2 linked regions of the Anolis sagrei genome follow. The protein of the gene in region 1 interacts with the protein of each later gene in a biochemical or structural test. Links are inferred from orthologs where the notes say so. Each region holds a gene or a part of one and is shown in the gene's direction. Other genes may lie near its edges.

Region 1 (10,650 bases):
CTGATAAACCAATTCATTATTTACATTATTTTCTTTTAACACAACTTTAAAAATGTTTTATTGACTCAGATTAGATTAGAGTGTGCAGATTAAAAAAAAAACCAACCCAGCCAAACAAATATTAAAAATGAATGCCAGTGCTCAATATCTTACTTAGACTTGATTAAAAAAATACAGACCTGTTATAAACAAAAGGCTCACTATGTGCAATTTTGAATACAAGAGTACTTCTGAATGTCACACTGTTATTTAAAGTCACATATCTGCTTATTAAAATGGGACAGTTACATGTAAAATATGAAACGGTTCCGGCCCAAGATACCTGTCCAACCGCATCTTGACCTATGAGCCCACCAGGACTTTGAGATCTTCCGGGGAGGCCCTCCTCTCGATCCCGCCTGCTTCACAGGCATGGCTGGCGGGGACGAGAGATAGGGCCTTCTCGGTGGTGGCTCCTCAGCTGTGGAACACCCTTCCCGTGGACATCAGAATGGCTCCTTCTCTGATGATTTTCCGCAGGAAATTAAAAACTTGGTTGTTCAAGAAGGCGTTCAAACAAGAAGTGCAATGATTGGTAATGATGATAGGATTGGAACAACGGAAATGATACTGGATTGTGGTTGGACGATGAGACGACGCGGAATGGCTTTTGTAGTAATGATGATGTTTTGATGATGATGTTTTTGATGATGATGTTTTTGTTTATTGCTGATGTGGATTTTAGATTATGTCTTGAATTTTTGAATTTTGTTCCTTCTATGTTGTACACCGCTGTGTGTTGCCCCCGGGCTGAGAACAGCGGTATATAAGCAAAGTAAATAAATAAATAAACTTTTGATGACACCATCACCAGTCAGCCCTGGTGACAATTTCACTCTGATTAAAGGAACATTGTTTTTATACCCTTTTAAATAATACTAATAATGGTATCTTGGGACCCATTGTCGCCAGAGCCATAACTGCATTGGGTCTTGATCAAGAGAGAAAAGCAGGACATGAATAATATAATTATATTAATAATGATAATAATAATACTCCAGTAGCCAAAGCACTATATCATACTGTCTCATCTTGGAACTATATGGCATCATATTTTAGTAGAGTTGTTTAAAACCAATCCAATGTAATGTAGATTTATAATTTGCCATTTACAAGTGTTACTGTATTGTTTGAGAAATTATAGTAATGAAAATCAGTTAAGAAATATTTTAAAATATCCATGAGGGGATATTTTATAATTTCTATTTCCAATGAGGGGAGGGGGCCCTTGAAGAAAAAAGCCATCCGCTCCTTGTTGCATGCCAATTATATATGTTTTAAATATTTACTACATTGAATAGGGAAAGCTTGAATATTTTTTTAATGTAGATAGGAATCTGCCTTATTATAGAAATGAATAAGACCAATAAATATCTGATGTCGACTTGCTCTACTCCTTTTGATCAGATTACTCTATATCAATCCATGATTTGCCCTGACTAATTTGATTATGGTACTTTAATTATGAAGCACCCATTACTTCTCAAGGGACATTTTTACCATATGCTTCCTTGCAATGAGATTTCTCCCCCTTCTCCTGATTTGCTCTTCTTCCTGTGTCTTCTAATTGGAAATTTCTCTCTATTCATCCTCAGGCTCTTAGAAGACTGTAAGAAGCCTGTTATATTAATAGCTCTTACATGACTCAGGTTTGGTAACTCAACTATTTCTTGGCCCTCTTCGTCCTGAACTCTCTTTTTCTCCCTTATTCCTGCTGTGCCTCGAACTGCATTTTATCCAAAACAAAAGGGGAAAACTTGGCCTCCCTTTGTGCATTGCTTCTTTCTGGTTATTACCAGAGAGGAAAGGGAAACAATGCTCAAAAGACAACATTCAACTCTAGTGGGTCTGAGTTTTGTTTTTGTTTTTTATACAGTGAGTTTAGGTGGCAAGGGAAAAATTATAGTGAGAAGAAACCCACTTTACATCTAATGTACTAGTATTCAATTTTTCTTCAGTGAGAAACCTCTTATTTCCATCTGCTCCCCTGGCTGCAGGTGAGAGGTCTTATAAAATTACAACTCCCAGGATTCCATAGCTTTGAACCATGGCAGTTAGTTAAAGTGGTGTCATCTACAAAGTAAATGTACCCTCACATTGTTGTCCCTTCTGTCCCATTTCCAACTATTTTTCTTTATTACTGGTTCCTTTTCCCTTCCACTCTAGAGTCTGATCAGTCTAGAACACGGATCCACAAACTTTTAAAGAACAAATTCCTATGCACACTGTACAAATAGTATTTATGGTGCAAAAACCAACAACAAAAAACCCAATATTTAAAACAAATAATAATTTTAACCAACATAAACTTACCAGTATTTCAATGCTCTGATGACATAGTCAAGTTAATTAGGATTGTTGTAGGTTTTTTCGGGCAACAACCCAGTGATTCCGGCCATGAAAGCCTTCGACAATTAATAAGGATTGTTGTTGTGTGTAACTTCAAGTCATTTCAGACTTAGGGCAACCCTAAGTTATCTGAGGCCCCTTCCACACAGCTGAATAAAACCCCACATCTCCAGTTCAAAGCAGAGGGTCTCCGATAACCCAGTTCAAAGCAGATATTGTGAGATTTTCTGCCTTGAGATTCTGGGGGCCCTTCCACACAGCCCTATATCCCAAAATATCAAGGTAGAAAATCCCACAATATCTGCTTTGAACTGGGTTATCTGAATCCACACACAGATAATGTGGGATTTTCTGCCTTGATATTTTGGGTGGCACAATATCAGCCCTATATCCCAGAAGATCAAGGCAGAAAATCCCAGATTATCTGCTTTGAACTGGGTTATCTGAGTCCACACTCAGATAATGTGGGATGTTCTGCCTTGATATTCTGAGACATAGGGCTGTGTAGAAGGGCCCATAGCCACTGATGACTCTGCAAAAGATAACATCTCAATTCATATGCAGAAGTCAAACAGCAACATCAAAAAGGCAGGATGTCTTGACTACCTGAACATCTCTAATTCCACACTCTTTTCAAACATTTTCTGCTCAGCATTGTTGTTGTTCATTCGTTCAGTCGTCTCCGACTCTTCGTGACCTCATGGACCAGCCTACGCCAGAGCTCCCTGTCGGCCGTTACCACCCCCAGCTCCCTCAAGGTCAGTCCAGTCACTTCAAGGATGCCATCCATCCATCTTGCCCTTGGTCGGCCCCTCTTCCTTTTGCCTTCCACTTTCCCCAGCATAATTGTCTTCTCTAGGCTTTCCTGTCTCCTCATGATGTGGCCAAAGTACTTCAACTTTGTCTCTAGTATCTTTCCCTCCAGTGAGCAGTTGGGCTTTATTTCCTGGAGGATGGACTGGTTGGATCTTCTCGCAGTCCACGGCACTCTCAGCACTTTCCTCCAACACCACAGCTCAAAAGCATCGATCTTCCTTCGCTCAGCCTTCCCTAAGGTCCAGCTCTCACATCCGTAGGTTACTACAGGGAATACCATGGCTTTGACTAGGCGGATCTTTGTTGCCAGTCTGATGTCTCTACTCTTCACTATTTTATCGAGACTGGACATTGCTCTCCTCCCAAGAAGTAAGCGTCTTCTGATTTCCTGGCCACAGTCTGCATCTGCAGTAATCTTTGCACCTAGAAATACAAAGTCTGTCACGGCCTCCACGGTTTCTCCCTCTATTTTCCAGTTGTCAATCATTCTTGTTGCCATAATCTTGGTTTTTTTGACGTTTAGCTGCAACCCGGCTTTTGCGCTTTCTTCTTTCACCTTGATTAGAAGGCTCCTCAGCTCCTCCTCGCTTTCGGCCATCAGAGTGGTGTCATCTGCATATCTGAGGTTGTTAATGTTTCTTCCAGCAATTTTCACCCCAGCTTTGCATTCATCCAGCCCCGCACATCGCATGATATGTTCTGCATACAAGTTAAAAAGGTTGGGTGAGAGTATGCAGCCTTGCCGTACGCCTTTCCCAATCTTGAACCAGTCTGTTGTTCCGTGGTCAGTTCTGACTGTTGCTACTTGGTCCTTGTACAGATTCCTCAGGAGAGAGACAAGGTGGCTTGGGATGCCCATCCCACCAAGAACTTGAACAATGAACTTGAACCGCCTCCTGAACAATGTCGCGGACTTCTGTCCATAGTTCTTCTGGGACTCTGTTTACTAAATCTAGTCCTTCAAATCTGTTCTTCACTTCCACTGTATATTCGCTAGGAATGTTAGTGAGATCATATCTAACTGGTCTGTGTATTTTCCCTGATCTCTTTAGTTTTATTCTAAATTGGGCAATAAGAAGTTCGTGATCTGAGCTACAGTCAGCCCCAGGTCTTGTTTTCACCGACTGGATGGATGTCCGCCACCTTTGGCTGCAAAGGATGTAGTCAATCTGATTTCGGTGTTGACCATCTGGTGAGGTCCATGTATAAAGCCGTCTTTTAGGTTGTTGGAAGAGAGTATTCGTTATACACAGCGAGTTTTCCTGGCAGAATTCTATCAGCCTGCGTCCCGCTTCATTTTGTTCTCCCAGACCATGCTTGCCTGTGATCCCAGTTGTCATTTGACTTCCCACCTTGGCATTCCAGTCTCCTGTAATGAAAATAATGTCTCTTTTTGGTGTATTATCCAGTAGGTCCTGCAGATCCTCATAGAACTGATCTACTTCTGCTTCTTCAGCAGCTGTGGTTGGGGCGTATATTTGGATCACTGTGATGTTGAAAGGCTTTCCTTGCACTCGAATTGAGATCATTCTGTCATTTTTTGGGTTGTATCCAAGCACCGCTTTAGCGAATTTCTTATTAATTATGAAGGCTACTCCATTTCTTCGATGTTCCTCTTGTCCACAGTAGTAGATCTGGTGGTCATCTGATGTGAAGTGGCCCATTCCAGTCCATTTCAGTTCACTGACCCCCAGAATGTCTATCTTTAGTCTTGACATCTCACCAATAACAACATCCAATTTGCCCTGGCTCATAGATCTTACATTCCAGGTTCCTATGGTGTGTTGATCTTTAGAGCATCGGATTCGTCGTTCGCCTCCAGTACCGTCGGCCGCTAGCCTTCCTTTCGGCTTTGAGCTAGCTGCGTCATCACATCTGGGGCTAGTTGAACTTATCCTCTGCTCCTCCCCAGTAGCATTTTGGCCATCTTCCGACCTGGGAGTCCCATCTTCCAATGGCATACCGACATATCTCTGTTTGTACTGGTCCATTTAGTTTTCTTGGCAAGGATACTGGAGTGGTTTGCCATTGCCTTCCCCAGGGATCACGCTTGGTCTGACCTCTCTGCCACAACCGTCCCGTCTTGGGTGGCCCTTCACGGTTTCGCTCATGACATCATTGAGGTGCTCAAGCTCCAGCGCCCCGACAAGGCAGTGATCCTTTGCTGGAGGCTCAGCATCTGCATATCTTATAAATATCTCCTTGATAAATATGCAAGAAGGTGGAAGGCACACACACAGAGAGACTTTAGAAGTTATATTTGATATGCCTATGCACAGAATGTCATCATGATTGACAAGCTTTTAAAAATCAAATGCAGGTGTGATGGTAGTATTGCTTTTGAGCAAATAGTGGATCTAAAAGTCTTAAATGCTACTCAGATAATGTGGGATTTTCTGCCATGATATTCTGGGATATAGGGCTGTGTGGAAGGGCCGAGTTCACACTCAGATAATGTGGGATTTTCTGCCTTGATGTGGGATTTTCTGTCTCGAAATTCTGGGATATGGAGCTGTGTGGCAGGGCCCTGAGTTATCTGAGGCCCTTTCCACAGTTGGATAACACCCACAATATCTGCTTTGAACTGAGTTATCTGACTCCACACTCAGATGTGGGATTTTCTGCCTTGATATTCTGGGATATGGAGCTGTGTGGAAGGGTCCTGAATTATCTGGGGCCCTTTCTACACAATTGAATAACACCCACAATATCTGCTTTGAACTGGGTTATCTGAATCCACACTCAGATAACACGCACTGAGTTGGACATACTGCCTGAGTTGGACATGATTTTATCTTGGCGATTTGACTTATTTGTAATTTTAATTGATATGTATTTTAACTCGTTATTATATGTTTTTAGATTGACTGTAATTGCTGTTTTAATGTTTTACTGTAATATGCATTATGATGTTTTATTGATTGTATGTGATATTATGGTTGGAAACCGGTCTGAGTCCCTCAGGAGAGGTGAGAAGGTCGGTATGCAAAACTTTTAAATAAATAAATAAATATTCCAATTCAAAGCAGAAAATGTTGGATTTTATTCAGCTGCGTGGAAGAGGCCTGATTATATTGAATGTGAAGGGACCCTTCACTTTGCTTTCCCCCTCTAGAATGAGGAGAGAATCCTCTCAGCGCTCCCCTTTTATAGGCGGAATCCCCTTTTATAGGCTCCTCGCGCCCCCCTCTCATCCCACGTGACACCCTGACCAACGGTCGCTCCTTAACGACTTTCCCAACTCTCTCTCTCTCTCTCTCCTACGCATCCTTTCCCCCCAAATAGACTTCAGAGTAGTCGCTTCATCCCAGTGCGGTGCGCGTGCGCCCTTTCTCGCTCCCTTCCGTGCGCATGCGCCAACAACTCCGAGAGGGGCGAGAATTAAAATATATATATATATATATATCTACCCAAGGCTCGCGGCCGCCATATTGCGGCGCTGTCAGCGGAGGCGGCGGCGTTTGCCGCTCTTTGCGCCGGAGGCCAGTCAGCTGGGGAGCCCTGAGGAGAAGAGTGGCGCTCGGAGCGGCCCCGCAGCGCCTCCTGGCCGGCTCTGCCGCCCTCTTGACGCCCAAGGCCGCCGGGAGACCAAAAGGCCGGCCAAGAGGAGAGAGAAGTCGCAGCCCCCGCCAGGGAGGTAAGAAGGAAGGACGCCGGCGGCTTGCCTCAGGCCTTGCTCTTGCCCTGCCTCCCTCCCTCGCCGTTCTCCTCAAACGCCTGGGATGCACATGGAGTTTCTAGCGGTTTAGATAAGTAGGGGAGCCTCTACATCAGTGTTTCTCAACTTGGGGGTCGGGACCCCTGAGGGGGTCGCGAGGGGGTGTCAGAGGGGTCGCCAAAGACCATAAAAAACAGTATTTTCCGATAGTAATGGGGATTCCATGTGGGAAGTTTGAGCCAATTCTATCATTGGTGGGGTTCAGAATGTTCTTTGATTGTAATGAACTATAAAGCCCAGCAACTACAACTCCCAAATGTCAAGATCTATTTTCCCCAGACTCCACCAGTGTTCACATTTGGGCATATTGAGTATTCGTGCCAAGTTTGGTCCAGATCCACCATAGCATGAGTCCACAGTGCTCCCTGGATATAGGTGAACTACAACTCCCAAACTCAAGGTCCATGCCCATCAAACCCTTCCAGTGTTTTCCATAGGTCATGGGAACCAAGTTTGGTTCAAATCCATCGCTGGTGGAGTTCAGAATGCTCTTTGATTATAAGTGAACTATAAATCCCAGCAACTACAACTCCCAAATTACAAAATCAATCCTCCCCCAACCCCACTAGCATTCACATTTGGGTGTATTGGGTATTTGTGCCCAGTTTGGTCCAGTGAATGAAAATACATCTTGCATATCAGATATTTACATTATGATTTATAACAGTAGCAAAATGACTGTTATGAAGTAGCAACGAAAACAATATTATGGTTGGGGGTCACCACAACATGAGGGACTGTATTAAGGGGTCATGGCATTAGGAAGGTTGAGAACCACTGCTCTACATCAAGCATGGCCAAACTTGGGCCCTCCAAGTGTTTTGGACTGCAACTCCCACCATTCCTAAGCTTAAGAGGCAGAGGAGGAAAAGGAAGGGGCCTGAGGCTGTTAGGAATGGTGGGAGATGCAGTCCAAAACACCTGGAGGGCCCAAGTTTGCCCAGGCCTGCTCTACACTGCAGAATTAATGCAGTTTGGCACCACTTTTAGCATCCACGGCTCACCGCTATGGAATCCCAGGAGTCCTAATTTTAAAATGTCCTTAGCCTTCTCTAAACTGCAAACTACAACTTCCAGCGTTGAGCCTTGGCGCTTGGAAGTGGTGTCGAACTGCATTGGTGAGCCTTAGCTTTTGTGGAAGAGGCGACAAGGAGCCCAGGCTTCCCTTATTTATTTATTTATTATTTATTCATTTACGACATTTATATCATCATCATCACTTTATTTCTTAATTAGTCACTCTCCTCCAAGGTGCTCCGAGCGACTTACAATTTAAAACAGTTTATACACAATATAAAACATTCAATATAAAAACATTCAATATAAAAACATTCAACATAAAACATTCAACATAAAAACATTCAGCAGTGACTATGGCATTTATACCCCACCCTTCTCACCCTGAAGGGGATACAGAGCGGCTTACAAGCAGAGGCGACCCTAAGTAATTTTCAATGGTAAGCAAACAGTATTTTGGCACCCCCCTCCCCAACCAATCACTGATATATATTTTCTGTTCGTCGTAGGAGTTCTGTGTGCCATATTTGGTTCAATTCCATCATTGGTGGAGTTCAGAATGCTCTTTGATTGTAGGTGAACTATACATCCCAGTAACTACAACTCGCATATGTCAAGGTCTATTTTCCCCCAAGAGCGCCTCAAGAGCGCCCCTGGGCAAAATCAACTATACTGCAAAGGCTTACTTTGCATAATAGTTGAGCCGCCCCTGTTTACAAGTTATATGTACAATACAATATATTAGATTATATTATTGTTATAGCACACTATTAGTATTATATATGTATTATATTAGTATTAGTATTATATATTAGTATTATATTGTTAGTATTATATATGGAGCCCCCGGTGGCGCAGTGGGTTAAACCCTTGTGCCGGCAGGACTCAAGACCGACAGGTCCCAGGTTCGAATCCAGGGAGAGGCGGATGAGCTCCCTCTAACAGCTCCAGCTCCTCATGCGAAGACATGTGAGAAGCCTCCCACAAGGATGATAAAACATCAAATCATCCGGGCGTCCCTTGGGCAATGTCCTTGCAGACGGCCAATTCTCTCACACCAGAAGCGACTTGCAGTTTCTCAGGTCACTCCTGACACGACAAAAAAAATTTATATATTACTATTATATTATATTTTGCTATTATGATCAATATTATAGGTACATATAACATATTATATTATTAGCATAGCACAATATTAGTATTATATATAACTATATTGTATTGTACCACTATACTGCATTGTTATTAGTAATATTACATGTAATATATAATATATAATAATATTATTATATTGTATTAGTAGTATTATATTGTATTACGGTATTATGATCAATATTATATGTACATGCAATATATAATATTAGCATAGCACAATATTAGTATATAGTACTATATTGTACTATGCTGCAATATAATTAGTAGTATTACATGTAATATATAATAAATAATAATTATTATATTGAATTATTATTAGTATTATATTGTATTACAGCAGGCATCCTCAAACTGCAGCCCTCCAGTTGTTTGGGCCTCCAACTCCCAGAAGCTCTAACAAGCTTGTTCATTTGTCAGGAATTCTGGGAGTTGAAGGCCTAAACAGCTGGAGGGGTGCAGTTTGAGGATGCCTATATTACAGTATTATGATTAATGTTATAAGTACATACAATATATTATATTATTAGCACAGCACAATATTAGTGTTATATATTACTATATTATACTATGCTGCAATATTTATTTATTTATTTATTTATTATAATATTTATTTATTATTTATTGTACTATGCACTTCAATATTTATTTATTTATTTTACTATATTTCTAGCCCACCTTTCTCACTCCAAAGGGGACTCAGAGTGACCTTACAATAGGTAACAGTTAGATGCCACATAAAACAGACATAATAAAAAAAATACCCAAATAAGGGGCCAGACCCTTTCACCCGCCAGAGATGTAAGCCACTGCTGCATTGTTGCAGCAGTGGCACCACTTTTAACTAGAACGTCTTAGTTTTATAGAATTCTGGGATTTACAGTTTGGTGGGATATTTTGCCTTCTCGGGTGCTACAGCAAATCTCTACACTATAGAATGAATGGTTTGATACCACATTGATTGCCATAGCTCCGTGTTGTGGAATCCTAGTTCTACGCCAGACATGAGCCAACTTCGGCGCTCCAGATGTTTTGGACTTCAACACATAGCTAGTTAGGGCAAATGTTGGCCCTCCAGGTGTTTTGGACTTTAACTCCCACAATTCCTAACAGCCGGTTATGGTAAGAGTGCTAATGTCTCAGCAAACTACACCTCCCAGAACCCCATAGCATCGAGCCGTGGCAGTTAAAGTGGTGTCAATCTGCTATAATTCTGCAGTTCGGACTGGCCCCTGGAATTTCCTCCTCCTGTTTTTAAGAGCTGGATATAATTCCTCCGCCCTGGCCATTTCCCATCCCAGAGTGGCTCCTTTTATTCCCTGCCTTCTCCTTTTCTTTGCCTTCCGTCTCTCCCTTTCCCACCTCCCTTCCTTGAAGTAAAAAGTGTCACTGATTCATGCACTGTGCTAACATTTGATGAAAGGTCTCTATGTAGTTTGATCAAGTGCTTGTGTGTCAAAATGAGGCAAAAAAAGGGGTCAGACCTCTTTTCATTTATTCTCCCCACCTTTTTCATTTCTTTGGATTTCTTGGCTACTGTGTGGGAAGGATCTTAAGGT
Region 2 (10,682 bases), on another chromosome or scaffold:
TCTCTGGTAGCTACAAATAACAAGGAAATGTGTTTGGAGTGTGTATGTATTATTCTATGTAAGAGGGTGGCAAAGGAAGAATGGAGAATCTGTTTTTTTTGGCATAGAAACCAAGAAGACAGTTTAAAATGGTATGGTCCTGAGAAGCTTCCAACCCTTGGTTCTTGAAAGAAGTATTTTAGCATTATTTTACAGACTAGTAAGGTTTTTGGACTAATAACCCTTGTGATGCATATCCTTTTTATTTTTAGGACGTCCCATGAATATCCAACTGGTTACATCACAAATAGATACACAGAGGAGACCAATACAGAGGTAGGAGATTTAATCTTTATTGATGATGATGATAATAATAATAAGTTTGTTCTTTTATACCGCCACCATCTCCCCGAAGGGACTTGAGGCGGCTTACACACAGCACAAGGTGCCTAAAGACAGAGCATAAAAGGAAAACAATTTAAAAATACAATTAAATGATGCCTGCTAATTAATGTTACGTAGTAACTTCAGCTTTAGGAACTGCTAAAAAGGAATGCTATATGAATTTTGATTGCATAAGAGCACTTCCTATCCTGAATCCTTGTGGGTTTTTCAGAATGATTTTTAAAACTTTCAGCCATGTTGCCATACTTCATCTACTTTCAGAGTACTTCATAGAATATATAACTTGTATTTTCCCTTTTTCAAATTACTTACTGTGCTTCTAATTTAGTCTTTCTTTTGATTTTAGCATAAATAGAGGAGGCATGACCAGAAACCGTGGTGGATCAGGTGGCTTTGGTGGTGGCAACAGACGAGGTAGCCGTGGTGGCAGAGGGAGAGGTCGAGGTGCAGGCAGAAGTTCCAAACAGCAACTCTCTGCTGAAGAATTGGATGCACAGTTGGATGCTTACAATGCCAGGGTAAGTACCAGCAGGAGCTGGGGGAGAGGGACAAATGAGTCTGTTAGTATTAGTGGTGCAAGCTAGTGGTATTGGTCTTCCGATGAAAGGGTACAGCTTCAAAAAAAAGTACAATACATGAATATGGTAGTAATTTTGCCTGGATGCTGGGATGTATGTTGTGCTTTTCCTTGCATTTCTACTTACTGCCCTTTTTATTGAATGTATGAACTGATCTCATGTATGTAGAGAAGTTCCAGCAAGACAAAGTGTGTTTCTTGTAAAATCAACTATTAGATTTTACAAATCACTGAACTTTATAGTAGAATGCTGGTTCAATATATCAGAGTTTGCAAAGTGACATCTTCCACAGTTTCACATCTTTCACAGTCTGCTGCTTTGTAGTCTCCTATTCAAATCATCTAGACATGATTCAAAATTAGAATCTCGCTGGCAGCATGTGTGTGTGTTAATTCCATATCCCTTGAGCTTCAAATACTGTGTGGATTTAGATTTTAGATTTCCATTAGCTGGCATAGTGAAATTGTGCAGTATTAAATAGAGATCTTTACGCAGTATGCTTGTGATTACTTGATTTATTAATAGTATGTTTTATTCATTTCTAATATATACTCAAGTGTAAGTCTAAACTTTTAGTCAAGAAATCAGCCCCCAAAACCCTGGGACCACAAATAATGTAACTCCTTTCTAAAAAGCATTCATTCTCTTCTTGGGAGTGGACTGGCAAAGATCAAGAGCTTAGTTCATATGGGAGAACTTAAAAGAAGGACCAACCCCCCCACCTCGACTGTGGCACGGCTTCTAGCCCTTTTGAATGCCTAGATGGGAAAATGGTAGTGGTAGCCAGAGTCAGGTGGCCCTGAAAGGGTGTTTTCCCTTCTTCACATATTGACCCTCAATTCACACACAGGTCATATCAAAATCCATCATTTTAGCCTCAAGATGTGCACTTGACATGTGATTGACTTATACATGACTATATACGGTACATTAAATAACTTATTTGGACATTGTGGAGTTTCTTTACCAACAGTTTACCAGATATGCTACTGCTGTGAAAAGTTGTAGCTCTTGCACTTGGAATATATTTTGGGGTTGATTCTGTATTAATAGCAACATATTTGAAATTTTATAATTTTTTTGTTAAACTGTCACTGTAAAATAGTGATCACTGATAATAATATGGAGGATATTTTTAATTAAATGATCATTAAACAAGTATTTAAAATGTGGACTCACGCTTTAGTTATAGTAACATTTTCGCCATAGAAAGATATCTAAAAATGGGATGCACCTTAAAATCACAGTTGCCCTTTTATGTATATAAATATGGCCTTGTTTTTTCTTGGTAGTACTGAAAGTAGTGTGTATCTTACAACTGCTGTCTTAGAATAAAAAAATACAGTATTTTGAAGATGTTCTCTAAGAAATGCATGTTGCCATCTTGATGGGGAAACAATAGAGCTTGGGTTTTTAAAAAAAATCAAAGTGATAATTGGTTTGATTGATCTATGCTGCTGGGGAGTGGGTTTGCTCAAACCTATGGCTTTCTTGTCTTTTTCCTAAGCTGATAGCAACCAAGTAACTGTTTTTTTTCCTTCATAGATGGACACCAGTTAAACCTGTTGGTGCATCATGTGCATGGGAAGGACTGCAGACATCTCATTCCATGCTCCCCAGCGGGAGGGGGAAAGGTGTATGGCGGCGGCTACTAATATCAAGAATGGAATTTGTTTTACTTTTATGTTTTGGAATAGGTTTTAAACTCATGTAAAGGTTTCTTTCTTTTTTTTAAATTCTGGAACAGATCTGTTTTGTACTGAGTTATTTTTTGGGAAAAAATTTACTGGTTGCCAGTTGGGCCACGGTGACTTTTTAACCATGGCAATAATAAAATAGAAATGTGTCTAGAGCTGTAAATGTCTGCTTCCTGTTGCAGCTGGAGTCCAGCTTTGAGACTGCAGAAACCAAGACGGGTAGGGGAGCAACTATCTGCCTGCAGGCCCCTAGCAAAAGTGTTGGTGCTCATTGTGCTTCCCATAGGGAGAGATTCAGATCTCTCTCCACCAGCTGGGGCTTACAAACTCTGTATCTCCAATCTCCTGTGTGTTTATCTTCCTCCTTTCTATGCTAAAGCCAAACAGTGTGACTACTTTTTCAGGGAGGTGGGGGGTAGAATCCAATGAAAAGGCTCTATCTACCCTTTGTGATCAAGGAGAGGGGGAGAACCCTTGTTGAAGTCATTTTTGTATTAAACACTTGATTCCAAAGTTCAGTGCTGGTCCCACTTCAGTATTTTTACTGTAAAATGGTTACTGTGATAATTCAGTGACTCCAACATGCCAAGTAAAGATTTAGTCTTTCAACTTGCAACTCCCTGCTGAATTCTTATTTCACATAATTTTCTGGCAATTTTATTATTCGTTCTTATGTACTAGTAATGGGGAGGGCGGGGAGGAAACAGAATACCTGTCAAAATAATGTGTTACAAATCAAATGGTATAAACTGAATAACATAGCAACACTACCAGCAGGTAGAATTATAATCTTTTCATCCATAATAGGGGGTTTTGACAAATAAGAATCAGTTTTGAAATCTCAGATTAATTTCTGAATAGTATTGTGCCAATGGCTTTCTAATGCTCAAAGGAATGTGGCTACATCAGTAATTTGAAAAAAAAATGGCACAGTAATATAGCAAAGTTACACAACACTTAATGACCAATCCTTAAATATTGCTTTTGAACACAGATGTCAAAAGAAAACATTTAGCAAAAATGGCTCAATGTGGTCGTAGGACATCTAGATTTATCTATTAAAATATTTATATCCTCCTTTGATCTAAAGAGTTTGGGAAGGTTTACAATAATATCACTATGATCAATTTAAGACACAGTTTAAATGTCTAAAAGATGATATATAGATAACTTGCTAAATAATTAGGCAAAATATAATCATGGTAAATAGTTTCAGAATTTGAAACAACATTGAAAGAACTGTTCCTGTTCATAATGATATACATTTGGTGTAGAAAGTATATTAATTGGGGGGGGGGGGAGTCTCGCATAACTTCAGCATGTGGTGAAATATTTCTTTGGCTTTAAAACTCAGACAAGTCTTTGAGTCTTCCAATATCAAGATATTTTCTCCGTGTTCATTTAAGAAATAGAGCAAGGTGTTCTCAAAACATGGCATCTTGAAACAATATTTTTGAATAAGACCATATATTTTTGTACAACATAGAGATCCCCTTTAAAGAACGGGTAATGGAGAATTCTAGTTTAAACCTCTTTGTACTGCATGCAAATTTAGCATGGTTCTTTAAAAATATTTTTGAAAATTGATAGAACATTTGTACCAAACAGGCTCGAGTTGAAATACCACAAGCCACAATCTAATTGCCATGACATGGCTTAGATTTGTTTGTTTAGGTCTTTATTAGTGGCCGTGAAAGTAATAAAGAACAAGTTCATTCACTCACAGTAGAATATACATGTGATACAATGGTGGACTGCTGCTTGTTTCGGTCACTGACTTGGGAGCTTAAACATATCATTCCTGAGGCCAATGAAGAGGCACTATTGAATTTCTTGACATTACTGTTTCTGTAATGTCAAGAAAGTTTCTTTACATCCATAGGAAGAATTGTAGCAGGACCTTAGATGCACACTTCCCATGCTAAGTTTCACCTTAAGAATTCATCATCATTCAGGGGTTTGCCCTGCTACAGAGCCTGATACGTTGCCCTATTACATTACAATACACTGTAAAGAGACGGAAGGTGCTCCTGGTGGTTTAAACCCGAGTTAGAACCAATAGCTGCAAGCAAGCAAGTCTGATTTTATGCAGCCAAAGACACCACAGCACTGAAAATGTTGACATGGTCATGCACCTACACCAGACATGGACATCCTCCCAGGACTTTTGAACTTCCACAATTTGTAACAGCCTACCAGCTGGGTTCTCAAAGGCTTTCATGGCCGGAATCACTGGGTTGCTGTGAGTTTTCCAGGCTGTATGGCGATGTTCCAGAAGCATTCTCTCGACATTTCGCCCACATCTATGGCAGGCATTATCAGAGGTTTTGAGATTTGTTGGAGTCTAGGCAAGGGGGGTTTATATATCTGGAATGTCAAGGGTGCATTAAGAACTCTTGTCTGCTTGTAGCAAGTGTGAATGTTGCAATTGACCACCTTGATTAGCATTTAATGGCCTTGCAGGTTCATACCACAATTCCAAACTAACTGTTTGGAATTATGGGAGTTGAAGTCCACAAAACCTGGGGGTGGCAAAGTTTCTACTGTGATTCTATTGTGAACACAGTAGAATCCATGCAGTAGACACTCCTCTATTTGCCTTGGCTCAATGCTATGGAATCATAAAAGCTGGAGTTTAACAAAGCAAAGCCTTTTCTGCCAAAGAATACTGGGCCTTACCAAACTACAAATTCCATGATTCTAGGACACTGAGCTTTAGCAGTTAATGCTGTGTCAAACTTCATTCGTTCCATAGTATATTGTAGATGCATCCACAATCTGCTGGGAGACAATTGGATCCTCCCTTCAGTGGCACAAATATTTATTGATTGACTGGCCTCATCCCTGGGTGATGAGCCTTTGGTGGTGCAATGGGTTATTATTTATTTACTGTATTTGTATACCGCCTTTCTCAGCCCGTAGGCAACTCAAAGCGGTTATCAGAGTAAAATTCAATGCTTACAATATCATAAATATAATTAAAAACAAAACAAATAATAAAAACTAAACAAATAAAAACTAAAACAAATCAATAAAATATAAATTTATAGTGTCTCCTTGTTAAAAATGTCTGGTCTCATTGTCATTTGACTAACTGACATTTTCCTATGTCAGTTATTCTACATTTGGAAACACTTGTTCAAAAAGCCATGTCTTGACTTTTTTCCAGAATGTTAAAAGGGAGGTGACCGATCTAATATCTATAGGAAGGGCATTCCATAGCCGAGGGGCTACCACCAAGAAGGTCCTGTCTCTCGTCTCCACCAAACATACGAAGGTAACAAAGGTGGTAATGAGAGCAGGGCCTTCCCAGGTAATCTTAAGGCCCTAGATGGTTCATAAGGAGAGATGCGTTCGGACATGTAAGTTAAACCCTTGTGCCAACAGGACTGCTAACCTGAAGGTCAGTGGTTCGGATCTTCAAGATGGGATCCAGCTTCACATGAGAAGCCTCCCACCGGATGGTAAAACATCCAGGCGTCCCCTGGACAACATCCTTGCAGACGGCCAATTGTCTCACACCAGAAGCAACTTGCAGTTTCTCAAGTCGCTCCTGACACAAAGAAAAAACATACTTGGGTGAACTCATTCACAAACTGGGACCTCATCACACTAGCGAATGAATCCACTTTAAATCCGGTTTCTGCCTCCTGCAGAATTCTGGGGTTTGTAGTTTAGGGAAGAGCCTTTAAAGAAACCGGATTTAAAGTGGATAGCGTGATGAAGGAGCCAGATCCAAAAGCACCCCCAATATCCAGCGCCAAAGCGGCTCTCTTAGCGGTTCCTTAGCGGTCTGACACCCTTTATTCACCACAATGGGCTCTGTTCCACCAGGAAGAGCACAACTCAGCTTTCCTCAAGGTACTTTTTTTCCTAAGGGCCCCTCTAGGATCTCCGCTCGCTTGCTGGCAGTTCCTTCCCTTCGTCTTGGTAACCAACGTAGGGCGCGCAGGACGGAAGTGGACTCTATATCCAAAACAAGGGTGGAGCGAGTTATGAAGGGGGGAAAAACCCGGAAGTGACGTCAGGTGGCACCGCGGAAGTAAGGGGGCGGGCAGGCGTGCGCGCGCAGGGGCGGGGTGGAGGATTTTGGGCGGTGGCGGCGGCGCTTGTCACCGGAGGTGGCAGCAGGAGCAGCGGCGGCGGCGAGGAGGAGGAGGAGGTGAGGCGGGTGCCGGCGAGCGAGGGAAGGGCCTCTTTCTCGGGCCTTCTTCCGCCCTCTTTTCCCCCTCCCTGGGACGGCTGCGGTGCCCCTGAAGCGGGAAGGGCGTGCCGCCGCTCTCGGGCCGGCCCTTTGTGGGTCCCGCGAGGAGGGGTCCCTTCCTTTCCTTTCCTTTCCTTTCCTTTCCTTGGAGCCTTCTGCGCCTCAGGGCTCCCTCCCACAAACCGGCCTTGGCCTCGTGCCTGCCAGGCTGCCCCTGAGCGCTCTCTGCGGGGCGGGGAGGGAGGCCAAGACAAAGCGGGCAGCAGCTACACTGCGGTTGGACACCACTCTCACGGCCCTGCCTCAGTGCTCTCGCAGCCCGGGATTGGCCTCTCAGCCAGGGACCATCACTCCTGGGCAGAAGGGACTAAAGGCCTTGGAAAAAAACACACCTCCCAGGATCCCATAGCCTTAAGTCAGGGCAGTGTCAGTGGGGTCAGACTGCATTAGTTCATCAGGGTGTATGCGCCCGAAAGCAAAGCTTCCTATGTACCTCCATTCGGGTTTCTATTTGCTGCAGTGCCTCTATCTTCGCTATACCGTGCATGCACCACTACCTTGTTTGCAGGGATGCTTTGGGACAGGGATGGATCTCATACCTTTTAAGCCCCACTGTTTCTTGAATGGTATCCATTAAATATGGGAGAGGAAGTCATAGGTGACTAAAATCATCAAGGGTCTGGAGAACAAGCCCTATGAGGAGTGGCTTAAAGAGCTGGGCATATTTAGCCTGCAGAAGAGAAGGCTGAAAGGAGACATGATGAGGGCCAGGTATGAATATGTGAGGGAAAGTCATAGGGAAGAAGGAGCAAGCTTGTTTTCTGCTGCCCTGGGGACTAGGATGCAGAATATTGTCTTCAAACTACAGGAAAGGAGATTCCACCTGAACATTAGGAAGAACTTCCTGACTGTGAGAGCCATTCAGCAGTGGAACTCTCTGCCCGGGAGCACGGTGGAGGCTCCTTCTTTGGAGACTTTTAAGCAGAGGCTGGATGGCCATCTGTCAGGGGTGCTTTGAATGCGATTTTCCAGCTTCTTGACTGGGGGTTGGACTGGATGGCCCACGAGGTCTCTTCCAACTCTTGTGATTCTAAGTGTGAAACCATTCTTTGTCATTTCTAAGCTACTTTAAAAAGCTTGGTTGCTTTTGATATGAGATTTTATAATCACTGAAGGGGAAAAAATCTTGGGATGTAAATGGGCATAGATATGGATCAGGGCTTCATTTCAGCCAGTATGTGGTATTAGTGTTCGCTGGAGTCAGGGCATATCAGGATGTGTTGTGTAGTTCATTTATTCCCTTGTCATTTATTCCCATGTTGGGTTGTTGTAGGTTTTTTGGGTTGGATGGCCATGTTCTAGAAGCATTCTCTCCTGATGTTTCGCCTGCATCTATAGCAGGCATCCTCAGAGGTTGTGAGGTGTGAGGATGCCTGCCACAGATGCAGGTGAAACATCGGGAGAGAATGCTTCTAGAACATGGCCATGCAGCCCGAAAAACCTACAACAACCCAGTGATTCCAGCCATGAAAGCCTTCGGCAGTACATTAACCCCCATGTTGCTAGGTTATCAGTGGTTCTCAGCCTGTGGGTCCCCAGGTGTTTTGGCCTACAACTCCCAAAAATCCCAACCAGTTTACCAGCTATTAGGATTTCTGGGGATTGAAGGCCAAACATCTGGGGACCCACAGGTTGAGAACCACTGGTTTAGATGGACAGAATGAATGGTTGCTTTTCAGGTAGACTTGAAGAGGAATGCCTCTCCTCCTTAACGGGAACTGCTGTGGCCAGGGAAATGATTCATACTGTTTCAAAGCCTTTAAAGTAGGCAGGGATAGTTCAGCATTAGAACTTTCTTCTTGTGTCGAGAAGGCTTATATAGCCAGAATTCATGTGGAGCAAGTTCAAGAGGATTCAGCTGAGAATAATTCAATCTTTTATGGCAGGAAGCTGAAGAATTCTATATGTCTTGGTTATGCTTCTCCTAAACTATAACTCCTGCCCTTGATGCAAGGAAGCAATTCTTATTTGGGTGAAAGTATGATAGCTGGGACCAAGTGCTGGAAGCGTTATGCTGATTCCGCAATGCTGCTTCGTCAACGCTGATAGCGTAATGTGGCAGCAGGATACCACTGAACTCAGTTAATGCAAGCGGGACACAAATAACAGTGAAGTAATTTAACAGGTCGGTGATAGTATAGCTGGGACCTAACGGTACGCTACGTGAGCAAGGCGGTTCAGAATAGAGGAATGGAAGATGACCCCATCACGGGTCAGAAAGGGGGGGGGAACAGAAAGAAAGGGGAACAATAAACAGAGGAGCATTGTGCTTAAGGGAAGTAAAGGAATCCGCATGCATCTCTCATTCCGCCCATTCTCTTGACCACGTGGTCACACACCTGGTCCTCATTCACAACCACCATTCCGGAATCAGCATAGCACTACTAGCACTCGGTCCCAGCTTTCATACTTTTACCGCTATTTGTTCCACAGTTTCTTTCTTTCTTTCTTGAGTATTTTGTGTGATATCCCTTGTGGCCTTGACAGCTAGAGATATTTGGAAGCCTGTCTTTGACTTTGAGCCCTTTCTCTGACACATAGTGTCTCCATGTGGCTGCTGCGTTATAGACCGAGGCAGAAGCTTATAATGCAAAATACCTTTTAAGCAGAGGACCAGTTCATGGTCCCTCAGATTGTTAGGGGCTGGACTGTAGTTTGAAAAAAAAGTGAACGAATTCCTGTGTGCACTGCACGTATCTTATTTGTAGTGCAAAAAACTATGAAAGGACAACACAATATTTTAAATGAAGAACAGTTTTCACCAACATAAATTTATCAGTATTTCAGTGGGAAGAGTGGGCCTGCTTTTGGCTAAAGAGATTTGTCAAGTTAATTACAATTGTTATTGTGTGCCTTCAAGTCATTTCAGACTTAGGGTGACCCTAAGTATAAATTTAGGTCGGACTGGGTAAATGACCTCGAAGGACCGCATCCACCCCATGGGCCTTGGTTTGGGGATCCCTATTATAAAATAAATCTTCTGTGAGAGCTGATTTCTTTTAAGAGGTGACTATTGTAGTCACCTATATACAATAATCACTTGCGGGCCATACAACTGTTGCTACACATTCAGAAACATCACAGGGTATAATACCTGCTGTTAAGGTTTCAGCAGTTGGATCATTATTGAATGCAAAGTTCAGCAAACATATATTTTTGTGCAGATTATATTGCACATGGCTTTCACTTTTTGGCATCTGATTTAATGACCCTAAAATGTTAAAATGACTAAGGAAATTGCAGTCTATTTTGGGGATTTAGAAAGTAGGATGCCAGGTCAGTGTCCTCATTATCTCAGCTAAATGGCTGTCATACTAATTGTTCTCTAGTTAGCTTTTAGAGCATAGAGGTGCCTGCCAAACATATAAGTATTATCTGCACAAGTTACTCATATTTTTAGCAAAGCATATGAAAACCAGATGTGAACTTCTCAGATCTGCAGATGGTGGTTAAAAAACAAACAAACAAACGTTCTGTTGTGTGTGAAGATGCTTCTGCACACAATAAAGGATGAGGCTCTAAAACAATCATCCTCCAAATTGTCGTTATTTATGATAAAGAGAGTAAAGCTGCTTAAATGCAGTACGTACCCTAGCGAAAGAGTTGTTGTATATTTGCACACAATGCATATGAAGAGGGAATATACATCCCCTCTCTTGCTGTGTTTGTCTTCAAATGTTGAAGAATACGAAGCCCCTTAATGTTTCTGGGCTACTTCTCAGTATTTACTATACTGTCTAGTTGAAGTCTGGTAACACC

Evidence for each region. The genes of interacting proteins can lie anywhere in the genome.
Region 2: the proteins of RDX (region 1) and ARHGDIA form a complex in vitro, tested with the Homo sapiens proteins (2 studies listed by BioGRID and IntAct). The link is inferred for Anolis sagrei from reciprocal best matches to the Homo sapiens genes RDX and ARHGDIA.

Annotation. Positions count from the first base shown.
Region 1 is NC_090023.1:27,274,054-27,284,703, reverse strand, and holds the start of RDX (radixin), read left to right. Parts: upstream 1-6,603; 5' UTR 6,604-6,841; intron 6,842-10,650. UniProt on the Homo sapiens protein: Probably plays a crucial role in the binding of the barbed end of actin filaments to the plasma membrane.
Region 2 is NC_090022.1:113,649,078-113,659,759, reverse strand, and holds the start of ARHGDIA (rho GDP-dissociation inhibitor 1), read left to right. Parts: upstream 1-6,714; 5' UTR 6,715-6,821; intron 6,822-10,682. Other genes in the region: ALYREF (THO complex subunit 4), read left to right, coding at 252-315, 731-902, 2,508-2,522. UniProt on the Homo sapiens protein: Controls Rho proteins homeostasis. Regulates the GDP/GTP exchange reaction of the Rho proteins by inhibiting the dissociation of GDP from them, and the subsequent binding of GTP to them.